Linked DNA regions of Macaca mulatta. The protein of the gene in region 1 binds, or shares a complex with, the protein of each later gene. Links are inferred from orthologs where the notes say so. Each region holds a gene or a part of one and is shown in the gene's direction. Other genes may lie near its edges.

Evidence for each region.
Region 2: POLR3F (region 1) and POLR3D share a complex: the UniProt entries of both Homo sapiens proteins name them as parts of the RNA polymerase III complex. The link is inferred for Macaca mulatta from reciprocal best matches to the Homo sapiens genes POLR3F and POLR3D.
Region 3: POLR3F (region 1) and POLR3E share a complex: the UniProt entries of both Homo sapiens proteins name them as parts of the RNA polymerase III complex. The link is inferred for Macaca mulatta from reciprocal best matches to the Homo sapiens genes POLR3F and POLR3E.
Region 4: POLR3F (region 1) and CRCP share a complex: the UniProt entries of both Homo sapiens proteins name them as parts of the RNA polymerase III complex. The link is inferred for Macaca mulatta from reciprocal best matches to the Homo sapiens genes POLR3F and CRCP.
Region 5: POLR3F (region 1) and POLR3K share a complex: the UniProt entries of both Homo sapiens proteins name them as parts of the RNA polymerase III complex. The link is inferred for Macaca mulatta from reciprocal best matches to the Homo sapiens genes POLR3F and POLR3K.
Region 6: POLR3F (region 1) and POLR3G share a complex: the UniProt entries of both Homo sapiens proteins name them as parts of the RNA polymerase III complex. The link is inferred for Macaca mulatta from reciprocal best matches to the Homo sapiens genes POLR3F and POLR3G.
Region 7: POLR3F (region 1) and POLR3C share a complex: the UniProt entries of both Homo sapiens proteins name them as parts of the RNA polymerase III complex. The link is inferred for Macaca mulatta from reciprocal best matches to the Homo sapiens genes POLR3F and POLR3C.

What each region holds. Positions count from the first base shown.
Region 1 is NC_133415.1:65,528,537-65,532,036, reverse strand, and holds part of POLR3F (DNA-directed RNA polymerase III subunit RPC6), read left to right. Parts: intron 1-2,778; coding exon 2,779-2,846; intron 2,847-3,330; coding exon 3,331-3,398; intron 3,399-3,500. UniProt on the Homo sapiens protein: DNA-dependent RNA polymerase catalyzes the transcription of DNA into RNA using the four ribonucleoside triphosphates as substrates.
Region 2 is NC_133413.1:23,888,829-23,893,006, forward strand, and holds the start of POLR3D (DNA-directed RNA polymerase III subunit RPC4), read left to right. Parts: upstream 1-1,378; 5' UTR 1,379-1,511; intron 1,512-1,737; 5' UTR 1,738-1,742; coding exon 1,743-1,907; intron 1,908-3,506; coding exon 3,507-3,550; intron 3,551-4,135; coding exon 4,136-4,178. UniProt on the Homo sapiens protein: DNA-dependent RNA polymerase catalyzes the transcription of DNA into RNA using the four ribonucleoside triphosphates as substrates.
Region 3 is NC_133425.1:21,775,034-21,778,533, forward strand, and holds part of POLR3E (DNA-directed RNA polymerase III subunit RPC5), read left to right. Parts: coding exon 1-57; intron 58-445; coding exon 446-528; intron 529-2,543; exon of another isoform or gene 2,544-2,934; intron 2,935-3,500. UniProt on the Homo sapiens protein: DNA-dependent RNA polymerase catalyzes the transcription of DNA into RNA using the four ribonucleoside triphosphates as substrates.
Region 4 is NC_133408.1:58,913,386-58,917,632, reverse strand, and holds the start of CRCP (DNA-directed RNA polymerase III subunit RPC9), read left to right. Parts: upstream 1-1,447; 5' UTR 1,448-1,477; coding exon 1,478-1,699; intron 1,700-4,247. UniProt on the Homo sapiens protein: DNA-dependent RNA polymerase catalyzes the transcription of DNA into RNA using the four ribonucleoside triphosphates as substrates.
Region 5 is NC_133425.1:1,237,419-1,240,397, reverse strand, and holds the end of POLR3K (DNA-directed RNA polymerase III subunit RPC10), read left to right. Parts: intron 1-1,976; coding exon 1,977-2,104; 3' UTR 2,105-2,479; downstream 2,480-2,979. UniProt on the Homo sapiens protein: Core component of RNA polymerase III (Pol III) which synthesizes small non-coding RNAs using the four ribonucleoside triphosphates as substrates. Can mediate Pol I proofreading of the nascent RNA transcript.
Region 6 is NC_133411.1:96,874,252-96,877,751, forward strand, and holds part of POLR3G (DNA-directed RNA polymerase III subunit RPC7), read left to right. Parts: intron 1-2,507; exon of another isoform or gene 2,508-2,517; 5' UTR 2,518-2,550; coding exon 2,551-2,667; intron 2,668-3,500. UniProt on the Homo sapiens protein: DNA-dependent RNA polymerase catalyzes the transcription of DNA into RNA using the four ribonucleoside triphosphates as substrates.
Region 7 is NC_133406.1:119,468,309-119,471,808, reverse strand, and holds part of POLR3C (DNA-directed RNA polymerase III subunit RPC3), read left to right. Parts: coding exon 1-104; intron 105-2,217; coding exon 2,218-2,306; intron 2,307-3,500. UniProt on the Homo sapiens protein: DNA-dependent RNA polymerase catalyzes the transcription of DNA into RNA using the four ribonucleoside triphosphates as substrates.

The sequences.
Region 1 (3,500 bases):
ATTTCTTTCACAACTACTCTGTCATTTTAGCAAGCAGCAGCCATGGATGATGATACATAAACAAATGGCTACAGCCATGTTCCAGCAAAACTTTAGTTATAAAAACAAGCTGTGGAGCAGATTGCTGACCCCTGTTCTAGCCCAAGGACAAAGGAATGTTGCTGATTTCTAGTTATTTCACTGTGGCGAAGGTCTTCAGCTCTAGGAAGCATAGAGGAAGGGATTCTGGGAGGTTGTAGCAGTGGAAAAATTCCTTTTTTCCTCTGATCGCCCTTTCAGCTCTTTCCTTCTGACTGAAAATCATCTTCAGCACCTCTGTTTTACCACCTCTGCCACCACCCACCCACTGCGAGTCCTATTGGCTATAGGTTGTATGTAGGCAGTAGTAGAGCTACCAAAGGATATTAAGAAATGAAGTGATAATTAATAAATCATGTAGTGTTTCTGATTTTAGCTCTTAAAAACAGTTCTTAAATTTGCTCTTCACACCCCCTCCATTTCTGTCCCTGGTACCGAACTATGTTCAGGCTCATGGCTTTTACCTCGACAGCTGCAGTAGCATCTTAACTGGCTTCCATGACTCCATCGGTCTCAGAGAAGCCAGCCTGATTTGGGATAACAGTCGTGAGCCACTGCCCCTTGCCCCCGATCCGTCTTAAATGCAGGTCTGACCAAGGCACTCTACCGCCTACAATTTGTTTATACTGGAGATTCAAGTTCAAACTCCTGGGTTTACCACACTGAGTCCCTGCATTGCTCACCAGCCTCATCTCCACCACTGTACCTCAAAAGTTAGGTTTCAGGAGGAACAGACTGTTTTTGGTTTCCTGCCACATCATGCTGTTTCACGCCTCGGGACTCATGTTGTTCCCCCTGCTTAGAAGGTTCTTCTTACTCTTTACAGATGACTAACTCTTTATTCTTTAAGACTCGGCTCTGCCATTGTCTCTAGGAAGTCACTGAACTGCCCCCTACCCCCAGGTTGGGCCACAGCCTGTTCTCCGAGTACCCAACCTGAGAGTTCAGGGTGGCTTTACTTACCTCTATCTTAATGCCAACCAGATGGGTACTGAAGTCAGCTGTGTGTTTCTCTTTTAGAATTCATGTTGTTCCCCCAAACACCTATCATAACACCTGGCACAGTACAAGTATTCAGTAAATATTCATAAGCTGGATAAATGACCAAATAGAGCCTCTGGATTGGGCCTTGTAGTCCTACTTTGCCACTTCATGGGGTCAGGGAACAGAGGGAGTAGGTCACCGTTCATTCAGTATGTAAATCCATTTCCAAGTCATGTCTGTTTTAAAACAAGGGAATGGGCCGGGCACAGTGGCTCATGCCAGTAATCCCAGCACTTTGGGAGGCTGAGGCAGGCCGATCACTTGAGGCCAGGAGTTCGAGACCAGCCTGGCCAACATGGCATAACCCTGTCTCTACTAAAAGACAAAAATCAGCCTGGCATGGTGGCATACACCTGTAATCCTACCTACTTGGGTGGCTGAGGCACGAGAATCGCATGAACCCAGGAGGCAGAGGTTGCAGTGAGCCAAGATCGTGCCACGGCACACCAGCCTGGATGACAGAGTGAGACTCTGTCTCTAAATAAATAAATAAATAAAACAAGGGAATGGCCTTTCTCTCAACTATGGCTTTCCAGTACTGCCAGAGCCTAGTGCTATAACTATCTGGGTTCTCTTAAGTTCGGACCCAAGGAAATTCAGGAGCATGACAGACATACTTTATTTTACTTCTGAATTGCTGTGAAAAAACAATACTACTCTAGTCCTTTTATTCATTGGCTGACATCAGTAAATGTCACTATTAACTTTTTTTGTTTTTTTTGTTTGTTTTTTTTTTTTCCAAGATGGAGTCTTGCTCTGTCACCCAGGCTGGAGTGTAGTGGTGCGATCTCAGCTCAGCCTCCCAAGTAGCTGGGATTACAGGCACTTGCCACTGCACCGGGGTAATTTTTGTATTTTTAGTAGAGACAGGGTTTCGCCATGTTAGCCAGGCTGATCTCGAACTCCTGACCTCAAATGATCCACCCGCCTCGGTCTCCCAAAGTGCTGGGATTACAGGTGTAAGCCACCATGCCCAGCCATTAACTTTATAAATTTTATTTTTCACTGTGCAACAGAATATGCCTATTTAGTCTTTATTTAAACTTTTTATTTATATAAATTATATTTTTACTGTATTTATTTTATATATGTAATTTGGATTTATTTGATTTTGAATATAGATTTTTATTCTCAAGCTGCTTTTTAAAAATTCTTTATGCAGGCCGGGCGCGGTGGCTCACGCCTGTAATCCCTGCACTTTGGGAGGCCGAGGCGGGCGGATCACGAGGTCAGGAGATCGAGACCATCCTGGCTAACACGGTGAAACCCCGTCTCTACTAAAATACAAAAAATTAGCCGGGCGCGGTGGCGGGCGCCTGTAGTCCCAGCTACTCGGGAGGCTGAGGCAGGAGAATGGCGCGAACCCGGGAGGCGGAGCTTGCAGTGAGCCGAGATGGTGCCACTGCACTCCAGCCTGGGCGACAGAGTGAAGACTCCGCCTCAAAAAAAAAAAAAAAAAAAAATTCTTTATGCATTGGTCATATAACCAAGCCAAGATCTAGCATACAGGAAATTGTTAGTATTGATATTTTGAAAAATTTTGAGATTAAAGAGCAGGTTTTGAAAAATTAAGAATGTTAAATAATGTATCAACATTTGTCATTTGACATATCTCCAAAATAATTGACTCCTGTTTTCTACTGTCTTAAAAACTAGGGTCAGTTGGATCTCTTAAGGAGCAATACAGGCCTTTTATATAGAATAAAGGACTCTCAGAATGCTGGGTAAGTACTAGTTTTTTTAATTTTAAGAAAATTTTTATTATTGCAAAAGTAATGTATGTGTTGGGAATAAAGCTAATACAAAATTACATAAACCTGTCCTGTGTATCATCCCCACCTCCTATGATATATTACATTTCCCAGAGGTAGCTGCTCTTAATAATTTAGTATATATCCTTTCTTCTAGCTATATATAAATACACATAGATGATTATATATTTATATATAATCTTTCTTTTTTTTTTTTTTTAACAAAAATGGAATCATGCTATCCATTCTGTTTTGCAACTTGTTTTTTTCACTTACTATATCTTGGACATCTTTTCATGTTGGTACACACAGCTCTGTCTCATTCTTTTTAAGGTAAGCCTTTCTTTTGGTAAATATGTCACTGTGGTGACCTTGTCTGTTAATTTTAAGTAGTGATGTAGATTATTAGATTATCCTGTAGTCTTTACCTTATTAATTTTACTTTATTCCCCTGCAGTAAAATGAAGGGGTCAGATAACCAAGAAAAACTAGTATATCAAATCATAGAGGATGCAGGAAATAAAGGTAAGCATGTGAAGGATGAAGCAGAAAAAAACATTGTCTTTGGAGCTTAATATAGGGACCCAGATCTCAGCTTCCCAGGGTAGAGCTCGGTGAACAGAGTAT
Region 2 (4,178 bases), on another chromosome or scaffold:
TATCCCAGGACGGGAAATCTATCCCAGGAATATAATCCGAAAGAAAACAAAAACCAAAACAAAATTGAAAAAAAGCACGTCGAATGTACCAGATATTCACTACAGCATTATTTAAAACAGGGAAAAAAGAAACAATCAGGGAAATACTTAAATCATGATACAGCCACTGGAGAACTATGCAGTCTTTGATGCCGTAACAGAGAAATGTTATTTGAAAAAGCAGGATACAGGCCAGGCGCAGTGGCTGACGCCTGTAACCCCAGCACATTGGGAGGCCGAGGCGGGTGGCATCACTCGAGCTCAGGAGTTCAAGACCAGTGTGAGCAACACAGTGAAATCCCGTCTCTACCAAAAATACAAAAAAAAAAAAAAAAAAAAGAAAAAAAAGAAAAAGAAAAAGAAAAAAGAAAAAAAAAATTAGCCGGGCGTGGTGGCATGTATTTAGAGTCCCAGCTACTTGGGAGGCTGAGGTGGGAGCATGGCTTGAGGCTGGGAGGCAGAGGTTGCAGTATGCAGAAACCTCGCCTCAAAAAAAGAAAAGAAAAAGGATACGAAATTGTGATACAACTCTGTGAAGACTACTAGACACATTACAAAATTTTTAATAGTAGTACTCTACGTGGCATTCTGGTAGAAACGATTTCCTTTCCTCAAACTCCCCGTAATAATGTTTTTATACAGTCTGGGGGGATGGGAGATAACATTAAACGACACTTTTTATATCACAAACGCTGGAGTCAATAAAAGTTCTTTAAATTCCTCCAGCAGTAGAGCAAACTTGGTATTCCGATTCTGTCCAGGCTTTGACCAAGAGCGCACCCGAGGGCCACCGCCTTCGTGATCCCAAGCGGGTGTGACTGGGCACCAGTTGGTCCACTGCGGCTGTTCCAACGCTGCCCTCACAGCCTCACCCCAGGACTCCACCAGGAGCACAGGGAAGGGGTCCCCGAGAGTGGGCGAGGTCGCTGCCCGGAGGTAGTGACCACTCCAAGGTCACCATGGAGAACCCGCAGACAGGGCTCCGCACGGCCCAAGACTCCCCGACTCTAAGTCCAGGTCTCGCTCTCTGTGCCGCGCCCCTCGTCCCATCCCGAGCAGCTACCCCCAAGCTCCCAGGGGCTCCGCCGAGGCGAAGCCTCACATTGCGGCTTGGCGGCCGACAAGACCCGCGACCCTGATCTCGGCACCTCCACGCCACCGCCCGGGGGCCAAGACCCCCGAGCACCGCCACATAGCGTAGCCCAGACCGGTTCCCTCATCCTTTTTCGCCCTCTCAACCCAGCTTTTCCCGACTCCGGGAAGAACCGGGAAGAGAAGGCGGAGGGGAGCGAAGCGCCGCCTGATAAATACTGTGGCCCAGTCCCGCCCCCGAAACGTCACATCCGGCCCGTGCCAAGATGGCAGCGCCCAGGCGGTGCCACGCAGACTTCCGCCCGGTGCGGAGACCTAAAGCTGGCAGCGGGTCGCGTCGCAGGTGAAGTGGTGACGCGCGGTGTGGAGCCGCGGCCCGGGTGCGTCCCTGCCTGGTTCCTGGGCGGGGTTCCTGGAGAGAGGGCGTGTCGCGAGCCAAAGGCTCTCACCTGGGTGGTCCCGGGAATCTCGCCACGTGGGAGGGGAGGAGCTGAGAGGCCACTGGAGGGACGCACCGACTGGGGGACCGGAAAGCAAGGGGGTTGGGTTCCGCCAGGGTCCGCGTGTCAGTCCACTCTGGTAATCTCGTCCCCCCTTCTCTCCCAGGCAACATGTCGGAAGGAAACGCCGCCGGCGAGCCCAGCACTCCGGGAGGGCCCCGACCCCTTCTGACTGGGGCCCGGGGGCTCATCGGGCGGCGGCCGGCGCCTCCCCTCACCCCCGGCCGCCTTCCCTCCATCCGTTCCAGGGACCTCACCCTCGGGGGAGTCAAGAAGGTATCCAACGGCGCGTTTCTAAAGAAACTCAACTACCTTGAATTCCAAGCCCCGGCATTCAACTGATGTTTGTGTAGGGCCTACTATGTGTCAGGAGTGTCGTTGGGCCTCAAGCCTACCCCTCTTTAAATTCTAGGGAGCCTGTCCTATCTTCAAATCTAGGTACTGAGTACAAAATGTTGAAATGAGTCCCAGAGGTGGTTGAAAGACAGAGAATCCTAATAAGTTAAAGTCGTTCAAAAGTAATTTGAACAGTGTTTATTTACTCTTATTGTGTGTTTGGACATCTTTAAGAAACCCATGAAAGCCAGGCAGGCATAAACTTCACAGTCTTAGAGCGTTCAGAATTCACCATCTCAGTGTGCAAACTTGTTATCTAGAGTATCATGAATCCTAGGCATGGCATTCGAGGCTCTGTGGGCTGTCCCATGTGTATATGACTGTGGATGTCAAGAGTAGCCCAGAAAGGGGTGGGGTCAGGATGACAGAAGAATAAAGCAGGTTTTTGGGTTTTTTTTTTGAGACGAAGTCTCGCCCTAGTCCCCCAAACTGGAGTGTAATGGCATGATCTTGGCTCACTGCAACCTCTGCCTCCCGGGTTTGAGTGATTCTCCTGCCTCAGCCTCCTGAGTAGCTGGGATTACAGGTGCCCGCCACCATGTCCAGCTGATTTTTGTATTTTTAGTAGACACAAGGTTTCACCATGTTGGCCAGGCTGTTCTTGAACCCCTGACCTTGTGATCCACCCACCTCGGCCTCCCAAAGTGCTGGGATTACAGGCGTGAGCCACCGCTCCCGGCCAAATAAAGCAGTTTTTTTTGTTTGTTTGTTTTGTTTTTAACAGAGTCTCTTTCTGTCGCCCAGGCTGTAGCACAGAGGCACCATCTCAGCTCACTGCAACCTCCACCTCCTGGGGTTCAAGCGATTCTCCTCCCTCAGCCTCCCGAGTAGCTGGGATTACAGAGGCCTGCCACCGCACCTGGCTAATTTTTGTAGTTTTTAGTAGAGACGGGGTTTCACCATCTTGGCCAGGCTGATCTTGAACTCCTGACCTCATGATCCACCTGCCTTGGCCTCCCAAAGTGCTGCGATTACAGGCGTGAGCCACCACGCCTGGACATAAAGCAGTCTTTAGAAACCTAACTTTGCCTTGGAAAATATGGAAAAACACTGCCAACAGTGATTGAGAGTATTGGCAGATCTGTGGCCTTCCCTACTTAGGCCTTGCTGCTAGAGATGTTCCCCCATGATACTGACTGGTCTCTATAGCAGTTTGAAGATAAGAGGTGAGACCAGAGAAATTCCTTTGCTTTTAGAAGTCCCAGAGGACCTTCTTTCAGGATCTTCTTTCCTAAGGCTGCTGGTTAAAAATGGTTTTTGGTGCCCCTTTCTTCTATGCATAACTCCACTGCCGCCACACCATGACGTTCCTCCTTTTCAGGCACACGTGTATCTAGAAAACTGACAGCACTGTGGAATGTGCCAAAGAGAGTCATGGTGGCCGTGGTCTGTAGAAGATGCCCGTTGGGAGTTTTTATTTTCCTCTGTACTTTGGGGTCAGGACCTAACACATCAGTGACTCCTGTATTTTGCTTTCAGAAAACCTTCACCCCAAATATCATCAGTCGGAAGATCAAGGAAGAGTAAGTAGCTAGTCCTTCTGAATACTTGCCCCTTATTTACTTGCTCTGAATTTGGGGCTTTGGGGAGAAATAAGTAGGTTTGTGGCTCCAAAATTTAAATTTATATCTTTAGTTCTTTTCACTAGTGATTTTCAACCCTGGCTCCTAGGTGATTCTAATGTTTAAGCTTTAAAAAAAAAAAATACTGGTGTCTAGGGTTCCATCTCTAGAAATTGTGATTTAACTTGTTGGCAGTAGAATGGAGTGATTCTCTTTGATGGCCCGAGTTGAGAGCCAATAGTTTAAACAAAGATGTATCACGCTTTCCCTGAAGTTCCTTTGCATTTCTGCCTTCCTGCTTTCAGTCCCAATGCAAACAAAAATCTACATTTTTGGACAAGAACGTAAAGTAAAGCAAACTGAAAAAATCCTGCCTCATCAAGGAAGTGAGAAAAGTGCTAGAATTAGGATTGGATTCTGCTTCTCATGGTGTAATTATTGGCTCAAACTCTCCGCTGTCTTGGAGTGAAGTGGTATGGGAGAGTAAGGCCAGTTTTTGGAGACACAGTGAGTGAGTGGTTTCCCTTAATCCATTCTTTTTTCCAGGCCCAAGGAAGAAGTAACTGTCAAGAAGGAGAAGCGTGAAAGG
Region 3 (3,500 bases), on another chromosome or scaffold:
GCAGATCGCGCTGAACGTGGACGGGGCCTGCGCCGACGAGACCAGCACGTATTCCTCGTGAGTTCCCGGCCCCAAGCCTGTCCGGTTTCCCTGTGTTCACACAGGAGCCTCCCAAAGACCTTAAAGACACTGACCCCCTTTGCCCCGTCACTGGGCTCCCCACCAGCGTCCCAGCCTTTGGAGGGCTGGTCCTGTCTCAGACCCGACTCTCCCTGAGCTAACTGGTCCCAGAGCTCCCGCCCACTCCTCGTCTCTTGGTCTACAAACAAGGCCATGGATTTTCTCATCCCCAGGCTCCGCTCCTGAGACCCGCGTAGGCTACCCTGCGGCCTTGGTCCCTGACTGTGGCACTTCAGAAGGTGTCTGGGGGGTGGAGTGCGCTGTGGCCACAGGCCCTGGCTCAGAGCTGCCTTCCCCTGTGATGTTGCTTCTCCCTGTGCTCCAGGAAGCTGATGGACAAACAGACCTTCTGCTCTTCCCAGACCACCAGTAACACATCCCGTTATGCCGCTGCACTCTACAGGCAAGGTACCCAGGGCTGGGCGTCCCATGGTGGGGACGTGGCGTTGTGGGGGCTGGGCAGGGAGAGAACCTCCCCAGCCTGGTGTCCATCTCCCACCTGCCCTGAAAGCTAGACACCTGCAGGAGCCGGGCAGGTGTGGAAACAACAGAAATGACACATTGTCAGGGGATTGGAAGTGGCCACCTTTGGGGCCTGCTGGTTGGACACTGCCTGACTAGATGGGGTGGGGCTCCAAGTTCATTTGTCCTCCCGGGACACAGATACATACAAGTAGCATAATATAAGTTTGGGGACAGAATTTTGTCTTTAAATACAAAGCTTATGACAGAGCAATTCCATTCCTAGGCAGCATCTATCCAAAAGAAATGAAAACATGTGTCCACACAAAACCACACACAGGTGTTCACAGTAGCATCTTCATGATAGCCAAAATGTGAAACAACCCAGATGCCCATCCGCTGGATTCATGGAGAAACAGAATGTGGTCCATTCACACAATGGATGTTATTTGACCACGGAAAAGAATGAAGCACCGATGCTACCACGCAGATGAACCTTGAGAACATGGTGCTAAGTGAAAGAAGCCACGGGCTTCCTCACTCGCAGCTACGCGCTGTGTGCTTATGTCTCAGTCAGCGACCAAGCACATACTCAACGGTGGTCCCAAAAGGTTATAATGGAGCTGAAGAAGTGGCTCACCTAGTGATATCTTAACGAGCCTGACCTTGTGTAGGCCTAGGCTAACTCGTATGTTTGTGTCTTAGTTTTTTGTTTGTTTCTTTTGCTTTGAGACAGTGTCTCGCTCTGTCGCCCAGGCTGGAGTGCAGTGGCACAATCTCAGCTCACTGCAACCTCCGCCTCCTGGGTTCAAGTGATTCTCCTGCCTCAGCCTCCCAAATAGCTGGGATTACAGGCACGCACCACCACACCTGGCTAATTTTTGTATTTTTAGTAGAGACGGGATTCTGCCACGTTGGCAAGGCTGATCTCAAACTCCTGACCTCAGGTGATCCACCCACTTCGGCCTCCCAAAGTGCTGGGATTACAGGTGTGAGCCACCACGCCCAGCCTGTGTCTTAGTTTTTAGTAGAAAGTGTAAAAAGTTTAAAAAAACCCAAAAAAACAAAAACAAGGTAAAAGCATATAGCTGGGCGTGGTGCCTCTTTCCTGTAATCCCAGCGCTTTGGGAGGCTGAGGCAGGCAGACTGCTTGAGCCCAGGAGTTCCCGACCAGCCTGGGCAACATAGTAAAATCCCTTCTCTACAAAAAATACAAGCATTAGCTGGGCATGGTGGCACACCCCTTAGTCCTAGCTACTGAGGAAGCTGAGGTGGGAGGATTGCTTGACCCTGGGAGGCGGAGGTTGCAGTAAGCTGAGATTCCACCACTGCACTCCAGCCTGGGCAATAGAGCAAGACTCTGTCTTGAAAAAAGCATATATAATAAAGATATATTGGCCGGGCGCGGTGGCTCACGCCTGTAATCCCAGCACTTTGGGAGGCCGAGACGGGCGGATCACGAGGTCAGGAGATCGAGACCATCCTGGCTGACACGGTGATACCCCGTCTCTACTAAAAAATACAAAAAACTAGCCGGGCGAGGTGGCGGGCGCCTGTAGTCCCAGCTACTCGGGAGGCTGAGGCAGGAGAATGGCGTGAACCCAGGAGGCGGAGCTTGCAGTGAGCTGAGATCCGGCCACTGCACTCCAGCCTGGGCAGCAGAGCGGGGCTCTGTCTCAAAAAAAAAAAAAAAGATATATTTTTCATAAATTTATTTATGTATTTTTTTTTAGAGGGAGTCTCACTCTGTTGCCCAGGTTGGAATGCAGTGGCTCAATCTTGGCTCACTGAAACCTCTGCCTGCCGGTTTCAAGCAATTCTCCTGTGTCAGACTCCCGAGTAGCTGGAACTACAGGTGCAGGCCACCACTCCCAGCTAATTTTGTATTTTTAGTAGAGACAGGGTTTTTGCCATGTTGGCCAGGCTGGTCTCGAACTCCTGACCTCACGTGATCCACCCACCTCGGCCTCCCAAAGTGCTGGGATTATAGGCATGAGCCACTGTGCCCAGCCTATTTTTTTTATAAGTTTAGTGTAGCCTAAGTGTGCAGTCTTTATGAAGTCTACAGTAGCGTGTAGTAATGTCATAGGCATTCACATTCACTCGCCACTCACTCTCACCCAGAGCAGCCTCAGTCCTATAAGCTGTTTTTAGTCTTTTATACTATACTTTTACTGTACCTTTTTTATGTTTAGGGATTTTTGGGTCTTTTTCTTTGTGTGGTTTTTGTTTGTTTGTTTGTTTGTTTGAATTTTTTAATTTTTCTGGAGACCGGGTCTCACTCTGTCACCCAGGCTGGAGTACAGTGGTGATCATAGCTCACTGCAGCCTCTATCTCCTGGGCTCAAGCAATCGCCTTCCCTCAGTCTCCTGAGTAGCTAGGACAACAGGCCGTGCCACCACATCTGGCTAATTTTTTTAAAAGAATTTTGTTGAGATGGGGTCTGGCTATATTGCCCAGGCTGGTCTCAAACTCCTGGGCTCAAGTGATCCTCCAGCCTCTACCTCCCAAAGTGCTGGGATTACAGATATGAGCCACTGCACCCAGCCTAGATATATTTAGATCACAAATACCATTCTGTTACAACTGCCTACAGTATTCAGGGGAGTAGCATGCTGTACAGTGTGTAACCTGGGAGCAACAGGCCATACCATAGAGCCAAGGCATGTAGTCTCTGCTGTCTGGGTTTGTATAAGTGCACTCTGCGATGTTTGCACAATGATGAAATCATCTAACAATGAATTTTTTAGAACATATCCCCATTGTTAAGTGATGTTTGGCTGTACGTGAAATGTCCAAAACAGGCAAATCCACAGAGGCAGAAAGTAGATTAGTGGCTACCAGGGACTAGTGGGAGAGTGGAGTGGGGATTGCCCGGTTCTTTTTGTGGTGATGAGAATGTTCTAAAATTGATTGT
Region 4 (4,247 bases), on another chromosome or scaffold:
GTAATCCCAGCTACTCAGGAGGCTGAGGCAGGGAATTGCTTGAACCCGGGAGGCAGAGGTTGCAATGAGCCAAGATGGCGACACTGCACTCCAGCCTGGGCAACAGAGTGAGACTCATCTCAAAAAAAAAAAAAATAAAAAGAAAATTAGGCCGGGCGCGGTGGCTCAAGCCTGTAATCCCAGCACTTTGGGAGGCCAAGACGGGTGGATCACGAGGTCAGGAGATGGAGACCATCCTGGCTAACACGGTGAAACCCCGTCTCTACTAAAAAATACAAAGAACTAGCCGGGCGAGGTGGCAGGCGCCTGTAGTCCCAGCTACTCGGGAGGCTGAGGCAGGAGAATGGCGTAAACCTGGGAGGTGGAGCTTGCAGTGAGCTGAGATCCGGCCACTGCACTCCAGCCTGGGTGACAGAGCGAGAGTCCGTCTCAAAAAGAAAAAAAAAAAAATTAACCAGGTGTAGTGGAGCGCACCTGTGGCCCCAGCTATTCTGGCAGGCTGAGATGGGAGGATTGCTTGAGCCCAGGAGTTCAAGGCTGCAGTGAGCTCTGACTGCACCAGTGCATTCCAGCCTGGGCAACAGAGGAAGACCCTGTCTCTTAAAAAAAAGAATAAACTACAATGTTTCTGGCAGCCCAGATGCCACCAGCCTCACTACTCTCTGAGGGGTGGGATTTTAACATGCAAAGGCCCACTAACCCGATCACATCTTGCAACTTGAGCTGATTAATACTTTGTTAAAACCTGGACCACGAAAACAGAGATAGGCCGGCGAGGTGGCTCACGCCTGTAATCCCAACACTTTGGGAGGCCGAGGCGGGTGGATCACGAGGTCAGGAGTTCAAGACTAGTCTGGCCAAGATGGTGAAACCCCGTCTCTACTAAAAAATATAAAAATTAGCTAGGTATTATGGCGGGCGCCAGTAATCCCAGCAACTCGGGAGGCTGAGGCAGGGAATTGCTTGAACACCGGAGGTAGAGGTTACAGTGAGCCGAGATCGCGCCACTGCACTCCAGCCTGAGCGACAGAGCGAGACTCTGTCTCAAAAAAGAAACGACAGAGCGAGACTCTGTTTCAAAAAAGAAAAAAAGAGGCTGGGCGCGGTGGCTCACAACTGTAATCCCAGCACTTTGGGAGGCCAAGGCGGGCGGATCACGAGGTCAGGAAATCGAGACCATCCTGGCTAACACGGTGAAACACTGTCTCTACTAAAAATACAAAAAATTAGCCGGGCTTGGTGGCAAGCGCCTATAGTCCCAGCTACTTGGGAGGCTGAGGCAGGAGGAGAATCGCTTGAACCCAGGAGGCGAAGGTTCCAATGAGTCGAGATCGCGCCACTGCACTCCAGCCTGGGCGACAGAGCGAGACTCCGTCTCAAAAAAAAAAAAAGAAAAAAGAAAAAAAGAAAAGAAAAGAAAACACGAGATAATCCTGTCCGCAAACGCATAGCAGTCTTACGTAGGCCTGGTGAAAGGATGCAGGAACACTCCCCCACCCGCGCCCCGGAGAAAGGCGAACGCGCAGCGCGAGGTTCCGGGTCCGCCAGGCTCCCGGCATGCAGCGCTGCAATCCCGGCGAGCACCTTGGCGCGCGGAGCTGGCACCTTGGCGCGGTCGGCGGCGGCGGGGACAGCTGTGACGTGTGAGGTTCTTGGTCTGCTGGCAGCTAGGGGCGACGAGGCGGGACGTCATGGAAGTGTAAGTCTCCCCGGGCGCGTCCCTTTTCGGCCGAGGAGCCCATCGGTTTGACCGCTGAGAGCCGAGATCCTTGGGAACTTGGCGACCCTCGTACGGAAGTGAGGGCAGCGGGCCGGCCCTGTCCGGGAGGGCCGCGGGGTGGGGACGGGGACGAACGGGACTCTCGCTTTGCCCCTCCGAACCTTCGCTTCCCCTCCACACCCTGTGTCTGGGGTGCGCGGCCGAACACCTCCGGGTCTGGTTGCCTTTCAGTGTGCGCCCTCCTTCTCTCATTCATTTACCAGCGTTTTTGGGTCACAGTGCGGGGGTGGAGCCCAGCCTGGTATCCGAGCCAGGACTTAGAAGGCTATAAAGGCCTGAGTCTGTTCGCCCTGAAAGTACCTGGAGAAAAGATGAATCAGGGCCGGGTAGAGCTCTGCTTGCAGCACTGGGCCCCTGGGGAGCTCTCACTCGGAAGAGCTGCTCTCAGAGTTTGATGGGAGCAGTCAACGCTGTGAGGGAAGGGGCTAGTTTTTGTGGGGAGAAGGGAAGGATGTGAGCCAGGACTGGGACCGGAGAAACAGCACGGGGTGTGTGGGTGTGTACAGGCGAGGGTAAAAGATTTTCTGACAATTTAACTCCACGTGGTCTTTTCCATGCTTGCTCGTTGCACGTCGTGCAAATGGAAGTTTTTGCATCTACTCCGAATGTGGGCTTTATATGGTTGATATTAACTTGTAGGTATTTACCTATCTTGTGTTCTCTGTGCACTGATTATTTGATTCAGTTTCCTTTATGTTCTTTTGCCTCGTGTTTAATGGTTATATGTACGATGGCATTTCAGATTTTTACATTCTTAATTGTTTTTTCTTAAGAAACAGGGTCTTGCTGTGTCCCCCAGGCGGGAGTGCAATGGTGTAATCATGGTTCACTGCAGCCTCACCTTCCGGACTCAAGCAATCCTGCTTCAGCCCCTCCAGTAGCTGGGACTACAGGCCCACACCATCACTCATGGCTAATTTTTTAAAAAAGTTTTGTAGATACAGGATCTCACTACAGCCCAGGCTGGTCTCCAGCTCCTAAGCTCAAGTGATCCTCCTGCCTTGTACTCCCAAAATGCTGGGATTGCAGGCGTGAGCCACCTCACCTGGTCCCTTCCCATTTTTTTTTTTTTTTAACTTAACACAATATGTCTGTGTAACTGAAATGAAAGGATCATGAAACAATAATGTATGGAGTACACTCTCATATTGTCTATTTTTTAAGATGAAGGGGGCCAAGCATGGTGGCTCATGTCAGTAATCCCAGCACTTTGGGAAGCTTAGGCAGGAGGATCACTTGAGCCTGGGAGGTGGAGACCAGCCTGGGCAACATAGGGAGACCCTGTCTCTACAAAAAATTAAAAAGCTAGTTGGGTGTGGTAGTGCATGCCTGTAGTCTCAGCTACTTACAAGGCAGAGATGGGAGGACCGCTTGAGACCAGGAGGCTGCAGTGAGCTCAGATGGAGCCACTGCACTCCTGACAGAGTGACAGAGCAAGGCTCTGTCTAAAACAATACAAAACAGAACAAAAAAGGTTGACCCACTGAATTAATTTTGCAACCCACGGATCGGATTTCATCTGCAACCTGAAAAACTATTCATATAATTTACTCTAGTCCAAGCCATCATTACTAATTTTTCCCTCTTTACTGGAGCATTTCCTGTGAGCATACAACCCTGCTTTAATGTATTCATCTTAGAAAATCCCCTGTCCCCACATACATGTCCACCTCTTACTCCATTTCTGCTTCCCATCCCAACAAAACTTCTTGAAAGTGCTGATTAGCCCCTCTTTCTCTCAACCATTCTGTTGGGCTTTCTTCCTCACTGGTCTACAGAAATGAATGTTAAGATTACCTGATCCAGGGGGCGCGGTGGCTCACACCTGTAATCCCAGCACTTTAAGAGGCCAAGATGGGCGAATCGCCTGAGGTCAGGAGTTTGAGACCAACCTGGCCAACATGGCAAAACCTTGTCTCTACTAAAAATTAAAAAATTAGCCAGGTGTGGTTTTGGGTGCCTGTAATCCCAGCTACTCAGGAGGCTGAGACAGGAGAATCACTTGAATTCAGGAGGCAGAGGTTACAGTGAACCAGATTGTGCCACTGCGCTCCAGCCTGGGCGACAGAGCAAGACTACATCTCCAAAACAACAACAACAACAACAAAAAAAAAAACCCCTGATCCCTCCATCCCTCCGTCTTTTCAAATCCAGAGGTTGATTTTCTGGCCTCAACTTTTTTGATCTCTCAGCAGTGGTTAATACAGAAACTCTAGAAACTTTCCTTTCTTCATGTTACATGTTCCTTTGTGATATTTCCTCCTACATCAAGGATTACTTCACAGTGTCCTTCCCTGGGTCCCATTCCTCCCTTGCTGGATGTCTAAGTGTTGAGGTATCTTAGGTCTCAGTCCTGGGACCCTTTCTCTCCACGCTCTGTCATTTAACCCATCTGTGTGCTGATGGTTCCCAAAGGTGTGTTTCTAGCCTCTTCTCATCATCTATCCAATTGCATAGACCAAAAATC
Region 5 (2,979 bases), on another chromosome or scaffold:
GTCAGGAGATCGAGACCATCCTGGCTAACACGGTGAAACCCCATCTCTACTAAAAAATACAAAAAACTAGCCGGGCGAGGTGGCGGGCGCCTGTAGTCCCAGCTACTCGGGAGGCTGAGGCAGGAGAATGGCGGGAACCCGGAAGGCGGAGCTGCAGTGAGCTGAGATCCGGCCACTGCACTCCAGCTTGGGCGACAGAGCAAGACTCCGTCTCAAAAAAAAAAAAAAAAAATTATTATTATTATTTGTAGAGACTAGATCTTGCCATGTTGCCCAGGCTGGTCTTGAACTCCTTGGGTCAAGCAATCCTCCTGCCTCAGCCCCCAAATTAATGGAATTACAGGTGTGAGCCACTATGCCCAGTCTACTTTTTATTCTTTTTTTTTGGGCTGGGACTGAGTTTCAGTCTTGTTGCCCAGGCTGGAGTGCAGTGGCGCGATCTCGGCTCACCGTGACCTCCACATCCCAGGTTCAAACGATTCTCCTGCCTCAGCCTCCCAAGTAGCTGGGATTACAGGCATGTGGCACCACGCCTGGCTAATTTTGTATTTTTAGTAGAGACGGGGTTTCTCCATGTTGGTCAGTCTGGTCACGAACTCCCAGCCTCAGGTGATCTGCTGGCCTCGGCTTACCAAAGTGCTGGGATTACAGGCGTGAGCCACCGTGCCTGGCCTTTTTTTTTTTTTTTTGAGACAGAGTCTCTTTCACCCAGGCTGGCGTGTAGTGACGCAATCTCTGCTGCCTGGGTTCAAGCGATTCTCCTGCTCATCCTCCCTAGTAGCTGGGATTACAGGCACCTGCTACTGCGTCTGGCTAATTTTTGTAGTTTTGATAGAGACGGGGTTTCACCATCTTGGCTAGGCTGGTCTTGAACTCCTGACCTCAGCCTCCCAAAGTTCTGGGATTACAGGCATGAGCCACCATACCCAGCCTTTTCTCTTCTTTTGAGTCCACACCAGAATCGCCCTTAATGCTCAATTCTTAACAATGCAGACTTTTCGCAGCATTTACTTCAAAACTCTTCTACTGTCTAACCGTGACTTAGTCTTAGGCATTTTGTTACAGCAGCACAAAATACACCAGAGCAGTCACCTTCCATGTTATGTTTCCAACCAGCCTTCAGCTGGACTTGAGAAGAACCGTGGGAATCAGGGAGGGGAGGAGCGGCGTTTGTGAGTCACAGGTCTCTCAGATTCCCTTAGTGTTAGAGTGTAGTAGGAATGACATCGCTGTTTGTAGACCTACCCTTGTCAAGGGGCATCAAATGAGCAGGGAGGTTCTTTACCATATTTAAAGATATTAAGTAGGCTGGGCACGGTGGCTCACGCCTGTAATCCCAGCACCTTGGGAGGCTGAGGTGGGCAGATCAAAAGTTCAGGAGTTCCAGACCAGCCTGGCCAACATAATGAAAACCCGTCTCTACTAAAAATACAAAAAAATTAGCCGAGTGCGGTGACGGGCACCTTTAATCCCATCTACTTGGGAGGCTGAGGCAAGGAGAATTGCATGAACCCGAAAGGCAGAGGTTGCAGTGAGCCGAGATCACCCCATTGCCCTCCAGCCTGGGTGACAGTGTGAGATTTCATCTCAAAAAAAAAAAAAAAAAAAAAAAGACATTAAATAATACCTACTTTTTTTTTTTTTTTTTTTTTTGATACGGAGTCTCACTTAGTCGCCAGGCTGGAGTACAGTGGCACAATCTCAGCTCGCTGCAATCTCTGCCTTCCAGGTTCAAGCGATTCTCCTGTCTCAGCGTCCCAGGCAGCTGGGATTAAAGGCGCCTGCCACCGTGCCCGGCTAATTTTATATTTTTGGTAGAGACGGGGTTTCACCATGTTGGCCAGGATGGTCTTGAACTCCTGACCTCAGATGATCCGCCCGCTTTCGCCTCGCACATATTAAGTAATACCTACTTTTAACAGTCATGAGCATCATGTTTCTTTTAATGTGGGTCACTTCTTTTTTCTCATTGCCAGAGCCGTGTCCCAAATGCGAACATCCTCGTGCTTACTTCATGCAGCTTCAGACCCGCTCTGCAGATGAGCCGATGACCACCTTCTACAAGTGCTGCAATGCTCAGTGTGGACACCGCTGGAGGGATTAGGGCCAGGATGGCCCAGCTGCCTTAGCGTGTGCTTACCTTGTCCCTTGGCGTAGATGCTTAGCTGGCAGTATGAATCGTGTGTCCTGAGGGTTTTTGCTGGTGTGGTGGAAAGATAAACCTTTTGAGGTGAAGAGCTGGGGGGTCAGGAAATGTGATCTATCTGCCAGTCAGAGTGGATGAAGTCATGAATGTCTGGGAGTTTTTCTGTGTGGGGAGGAGACAGAGACCCATAAGTAAATATGCTCTGTTTAAAGTCCTGTTCTTTCATCTTCCATATTTATTGGCAGTTGACATTCCCTTACTCCCAATCAACACTCTTAAACATTTGTACTGTTTGCAAAACTTAACCCTAAACATTTAACTGTTACTTGTAAACTTGTGTAATTTATTATTTATTTTAATCACAATTCTGAGTATTTCATTCAATTGAAAGTTCTAATATTGCGTTCTCAGTGTTTTTTTTTTTTTTTTTTTTTTTTTTGAGACGGAGTCTTGCTCTGTCACCCAGGCTGGAGTGCAGTGGCTGGATCTCAGCTCACTGCAAGATCCGCCTCCCAGGTTTACGCCATTCTCCTGCCTCAGCCTCCCGAGTAGCTGGGACTACAGGCGCCCGCCACCTCGCCCGGCTATTTTTTTGTATTTTTTTTTAGTAGAGACGGGGTTTCACCGTGTTAGCCGGGATCGTCTCTCGATCTCCTGACCTCGTGATCCGCCCGTCTCGGCCTCCCAAAGTGCTGGGATTACAGGCTTGAGCCACCGCGCCCGGCCCTCAGTGTTTTAAATAGCTTAAGTGGTAGAAAGCAAACCCCAAATCACAGTGATCCCAGAATTGACTACATACTTAGATTTGAACAGGCTATGAAAATACTAATCAC
Region 6 (3,500 bases), on another chromosome or scaffold:
ATAAAATTAGATAGGCATGGTGGTGCATGCCTGTAATCTCAACTACTCGGGAGGCTGAGGCAGGAGAATTGCTTGAACCTGGGAGGTGGAGGTTGCAGTGAGCTGAGACCGCACCATTACACTCCACCCTGGGCAACAAGAGTGACACTCCATCTCAAAAAAATCTCCAAGTTTTCGGGGAGACTGATTTAAGGAGTAATAAAACTCTGGTCTCCTGCACAGCCAGCTCTGTGTGAATTACTCTTTCTATATTGCAATTCCCCTGTCTTGATAAATCAGCTCTGTCCAGACAACAGGCATGGTGAACCCCTTGGGCAGTTACAAAATCATATCTGAAAATGTTCTCAGTATCATAGCCATTATGTCAAATCAAATGCCATATATTCTACTTGGGTAATTCACAGAAAACAGGAAACAATGTTTCATTACAAAAAGATGTTGAATATATGATTTGCTTCTGGGGCCTTAAATGTAGAAGGACATTAAAATTGGCCATCATTGGCAGTGTGTCATTGGCTGGGCGCCGTGGCTCATGCCTATAATCCTAGCACTTTGGAAGGCTGAGGCAGGCGGATCACTTGAGGTCAGGAGTTTGAGACCAAGCTGGCCAACATGGTGAAACCCCGTCTCTCCTAAAAAAATTCAAAAATAAGTCCTATAATCCCAGCTACTTAGGAGGCTGAGACAGGAGAATCACTTAAGCAAGGGAGGGAGGTTACAGTGAGCCACAATTGTGCCACCTGGGTGACGGAGCAAGACTTCATCTGAAAAAAATAAATAAATAAATAATTTTAAAAATTAAATTGGCTGTCTAAAAGTGCAGTGCCTTGTTACTGCTATTCCTTGTAAATGAATTAAAACTTGGACTGCCACATCCTGAGTGTTACGTAGATTTACAGCAGTTACAGTTATCTCACCTTTAAGGCAAATATTTTTAAGTTGCTAAGGCTAGTTTGTATAATTTTAAACCTCAAAGATGAGACCTATGAAGTCCTTGATTCTACATGTGTATTTTAACTCAACTACTACTTAGTTGCTAAGACTTCCACCAGAACGGTTCTCTCAATACTCTTAACATTTGCTGTTAGAATCACCTGGGAAGCTTCTAAAACTGACTCTTGCTCAATCCTCACCCCAAGAGATCTGGATTGATTGGTTCAGTTCAGTGATTCTCAGAACTTAGCATACATAAGAATTATCTGGAAGGCTTCTTAAAACACCAGTACTGGGCTCACCCACAGTTTCTTTTTTCTTTAGGTCTGTGGTGGAACTCACAGTTTGCATTTCTACCAAGTTCTGAGTGATGCTGCTGCAGACAGCACTCTTTGAGAACCATTGCTCTAGGTTTTTAAGCTACCCAAGTGATTCTAATGGCAGCCAGGGTTGAGAACTGAGAGGCGCTTGCTTTGTAGTGTTGGCCCTGTGATAAAGTGAGCTGGGAGTTTTCAGCCTTTTGGTCCAAAGAACTGCGTATATTCAAATTGTAGACAGTAAAATTGATATAAAGAAGTAGCACCTTGTTGGTTTTAGGTGGTGTTCCTTCACCATTAATGTGGCAGACTAAGAGGGGTGACATTAATGACGAGGCAAGAAACCCTGGTGAAGAGTAGAGCAGCTGTGTGAAGTACTGTGACTTGCATAATTTTGTAAGGAGGGCAAGTGAGAGTGAGTGGATTCAGAAATGAGACTGAGCTGATGGAGCCAAAACCAAAGCCACTCCTCTGACTTCCTCCAGGTGGACTGGAGGACATATAGTTTCTGTCTTGGGTTCACAGGCTTAAATGAGGCTCAGTATTATCAGCGGGAAAAGAGATGTAAAGAGTGTGCATTATAATCATCACTACAGTTGAATGCAGACTTCTATTGGAAGAACTCTAGCGTAGGGAACCCTGTTTTTACATTGCCAGCTCAGTTCTCATAGTATAATCAGAGGATTCAAAAGTTCATTACAACTTGCATGTATGATGTCACTCCTGTCCCCAAAATTGAAGAGTACAGGTTTATCGTAACTTTAATGATTTCAGCTGTTTTCCTCTGAATTTTTTTTTCTTGGACAGGCTTCTTTCGAGTCTCATCAAACGACCATTCCCATTTCTAAAAGGGAGACATTAGACTAGATCTCAGGGATTCTTCCTAACACTCACATGCTAAGATAAATCATTTAAAGTCTTAAAGTATATATGACTAATGATGATGTGAAAAAGAAAGATTTTTTTTTTTTTATGTTTTTATGTTGATATGAAAAAGAAAGATTTCTTCTCCTCATCAGTCTGGATGTGGGACAGTAGTAGTGGGTGAGGGAGTTGAAGCCATCATTATCTTACCTGCCAAAGATGTGTGTGTGTGAGAAATTCAACAGTTACTTGTCAAATGTTTATTTCTCCATGTTTTGCTTTCCAAAAGTATTTTAAATCAACTATGCTACTTAAGGGATGCAGTTTTATATTTTGCTTTAAAGTGTTGATTTCTTTTTTATGTGTGATCCAGTAAATCTTAATCATTAATAGTGCCTTTCAGAATTTGGCTACTCATCTGGTATAACTATTTCTGATGGCTGGGAATAAAGGAAGAGGACGTGCTGCTTATACCTTTAATATTGAGGCTGTTGGATTTAGCAAAGGCGAAAAGTTACCTGATGTAGTGTTGAAACCACCCCCACTATTTCCTGTAAGTATATGAACTGTTGAATTCTCATAGTGTGTTTTTTCATTTTTTAGAGAATATTAAATTCTATATAGGACTTGATATATGATTATAGTATCCTCAAGTATAAGAAAGTAAAGGAGAGTGTGTTTCACTTACCTTTAAATATTTTCATGATCTGCTTTCTTAAAATAAAGAAAACAAAACTGTATACATCTTTCTATTAATATATTTAGTACTATGTGAACCAGTAAAGAATTAGTTTTCAATTCTTACAACTCCTGTTGGTGTTACTGATAAATTCCAGTATGAAAATAGTAGTTTTAAAAGTCATTAGGTTTTATAATGGTTCTAAGTTCCCACCCTACCGCACCTTCACTTTTCTTCTCGTCTTGTATCTATAGAACTTAAGTTTGCTCCTTAGTATGCCACTTGACTTTGTCCCCCACTGAACTTTTTTTGCTTATTTTAGTGTTGTTTTAAAATTTAGTGAGTATGCTGCAAGCTAAATTTGCATAATATGTAATGTTTTCACTTTATGTTTAGTTTAGAATGTATCCAGGGATCTAGATATCTCACACACAAGGGGTCTCCGCTTTTTGCTGTTGATATTTTACCTTTTTGATATTCAGCGCAGCATAAAAACAAAGACAAATATCTCAGGTATTGGCATAATGTCACTTTACAGTGATTTTTAAAACAAGCTCTTTTCCATGTGTGAGATTACTTCTAAACACTGGGGATGTTAGTACATAGTATTTCTTTATGCTTGGAATGAAATTAAAATTCCTTACTACTGGGTAAAAGGCTCTTCCTGATCTCTCCGTTCTGATGTCTCTCTGACTCTTTCTACCACT
Region 7 (3,500 bases), on another chromosome or scaffold:
AGTACCTACCACTGAGAATTCAGACCCTGGGCCACCACCACCTGCCCCCACACTTGTCATTAATGAAAAGGACATGTACCTGGTTCCTAAGCTGAGCTTGATAGGTAAGGAATTTTAACCCCTGGAACTGTGACTTGCCTTAATTGTGGATTCTTCTTGATTGATTATCAAATGTATGAATCAGGTGAACATTTACCTTGGTAAATCAGACTGATTTACCAATCAGTCTGAACATTTGCTATGTGTCAAACATCGTGGTGGATAACAATGAAAAAATCATGGTCTCTGTCATGGGGCTTTAGGAGACATACATTAATCAGAAAATCACATCGATATATCATTAAACGGTGATAAGTACTATGAAGGAAATATTCCTATGAAGGAACTGTCATAGTATTATGACACATACATTAATCAGAAAATCACATCGATATATAATTAAACCGTGATAAGTACCATGAAGGTAAAGTATGAGGTGTTATGAAAATATATAATGGAGGCCGGGCGCGGTGGCTCAAGCCTGTAATCCCAGCACTTTGGGAGGCCGAGACGGGTGGATCACGAGGTCAGGAGATCCAGACCATCCTGGGTAACACGGTGAAACCCCGTCTCTACTAAAAAATACAAAAATCTAGCTGGGCGAGGTGGCAGGCGCCTGTAGTCCCAGCTACTTGGGAGGCTGAGGCAGGAGAATGGCATAAACCCGGGAGGCGGAGCTTGCAGTGAGCTGAGATGCGGCCACTGCACTGCAGCCTGGGCAACAGAGTGAGACTCCATCTAAAAAAAAAGAAAAAGAAAATATATAATGGAGACTTTGGGAGACTGAGGCAGGCAAATTGCATAAGGCCAGGAGTTCCAGACCAGCCTGGGCAACATGGTGAAACCCCATCTCTACTAAAATTACAAAAATTAGCCAGGTATGGTGGTGTACACCTGTAATCCCAGCTACTCGGGAGGCTGGGGCAGGAGAATTGCTTGAACCCAGGAGACAGAGGTTGCAGTGAGCCAAGACTGCGCCACTGCACGCCAGCCTGGGCGACAGAGTGAGACTGTCTCAGAAAAAAAGAAGAAAATATATAATGAGGGACGGGATTCATCTGGGAGTTTAGGCCTCATGTTTCTTTGAGAAGGTGACATTTGAGCTAAGATTTAAAGTGGAAGCTAACAGTGAGGTAACAGGAAAAGCATTTTTGGCAAAGGGAATAGTATGTAGTAAAAAAAAAAAAAAAAAAAAAAAAAAAAAAACAGCATTTGTAGACCAGGCACGGTGGCTCATGCCTGTAATCCGAGCACTTTGGGAGGCCAGGGCGGGCGGGTCACAAGGTCAGGAGATCAAGACCATCCTGGCTAACACGTTGAAACCCTGTCTCTAAAAAAAAAATACAAAAATTAGCCGGGCATGGTGGCGGGTGCTGTAGTCCCAGCTACTCTGGAGGCTGAGGCAGGAGAATGGCATGAACCCGGGAGGCAGAGCTTGCAGTGAGCCAAGATCTGAGATCATGCCATTGCACTCCAGCTCTGTCACACTCCAGCCTGGGTAACAGAGCAAGACTCCATCTCAAAAAAAAAAAAGCATTTGAGGAAATGAGAGAGTGTCAGTATAGCTAAAGCATTGTAAGCAAAGCAAAGAGGCATGAGATAAGGTTAGAGACATAGATAGGCAGGGGTCTGATATCAGAAGCTAATCAGGATCGACCTGCTTAGTACTTGGATGGGAAACAGGCAGGGACTAAATCAAGTAAGACCTTATAGAGCATTTGTTCTTTATGCTAAGAGCAAAGGAAAACCACTAAAGGATTTTTTAGGAAATGACATGATCTAATTTATACTTTTAAAAGATTTTTTGTCTACAGAAAGGATGGGAGAATGGGGCAAAGTAAAAGTTGACAGACTGGTGGAAAATGAAACAGAGGGTGAAGGAGACAAGTATTAAGAATGACATTTCTGTGTCTGACTTGCACATGTGGAAGAATGGTGATATCATTGGCCATGAAAGAGAGTATTGGAGGAGAAAGACTATAAGCTTCTTTTTGAACATGTTGAGTTTCAGATCATTTCATCCTTTACTTGAATTTCTTATAGCTCTTCAGCCCCCTAAGCAACTCTGATCTAGAGGCACCTATAGATGTCTTTGGAATGAAAGACACCTGCTCTCATGTTTGGTCATTTGCTGTCATACAGTCATACAGTCTAAGTGTTCAATTATTTGTTTGGCAGGAAAAGGTAAAAGGCGCAGATCATCTGATGAAGATGCTGCTGGGGAACCCAAGGCCAAGAGACCAAAACATACTACAGATAACAAGGAGGTAATGGGGCTTCTTGATTAGAAGTCCTCACCCTGAAGCAGGCCAGAAAGAGCACTCAGATAACAAGCCCCAAGAGAGCTTAAAGCTTCCTGAGCTAAGAAGCAGTAGGATTATGAACCTCATTAAATATTAGAAATAGAATGAACCATTCTATTCATTCACAAAGAATGAACCATTACTGTCTCCCTTCTGAGCCTTAATTCTTTCATTGAACAGAGATAACAGGCTATGTAAAAAGGGGCCTAGAAAAAGTTTAGATTGCTCAATATGGCAAGAACCTAAAAACAGTGGTGAAAAATGGGTCTAAAAACTATACATAGGCCTGAACTTATATTCAGTGCCTTCTTAGCATGCCTATAAAGATGTCAGTAAGCATCTCAAACTTAGTGTGGCCAAAACAGAATAATTGATTCCTCCTCTTAGTAAAAGACACTACCACCTAGGCCAGCCACCTAGGACACCACCATTTCTGCTTAGGCCAAAATCCTTGGAACCCTCTAATCTCACAGTAAAACATACCAGCCCAGTTTCCAAAATTACCTCAAATCCAACCATTTCTCATCTTTTAACTGCCGTCTCTCATCAACTCTTTCCTAACCCTTTCGTTAATGGTCTCCCTAGCTGCATTCTTACCTACTTAGTAGCCAAAATGACTTTCTAAGTTCAAAACAAAACAATACATCCACTGATTAGACTCCTTTAATAGCTTTCCTTTACTCTTAGAAGAAATCCAAGATACGGGCTAGGAAGCCTTACATGATCTAGGTCTTCGTATGATCTGTTGGAGACAGGCTTTTCAACCTCACCTCTGACCCATCTCCGTCTTGCTCACTGTGTTCCCCCTACTGACTTTCTATCTCTTAAACATGTCAAACTCTTTCTAGTCTTTAGACTTTGGCCCTTATCATGCCTCTGGCTTCAAATGTTTGTCCCCAGATCTTCATGTAGTGGTCTCTGTTTTTATCATTTCTGTCTTAAATGCTCTTTTCATAGACTTCAAGCACCATTGTCCTCTCCTACACTGGTCCCTACCACATTTCTCATTTCATATACTTCACAGCATTTATATTTATAACTGGAATTATTTATTATTTGTGTACATGTTTGTCTAAGAGGTGTGGACTTTATCCTGAAGACAAGGGAGAGCCATTGATGGATTTTAAGCAGAGAAATGAAGTAACTGGATTTATATGT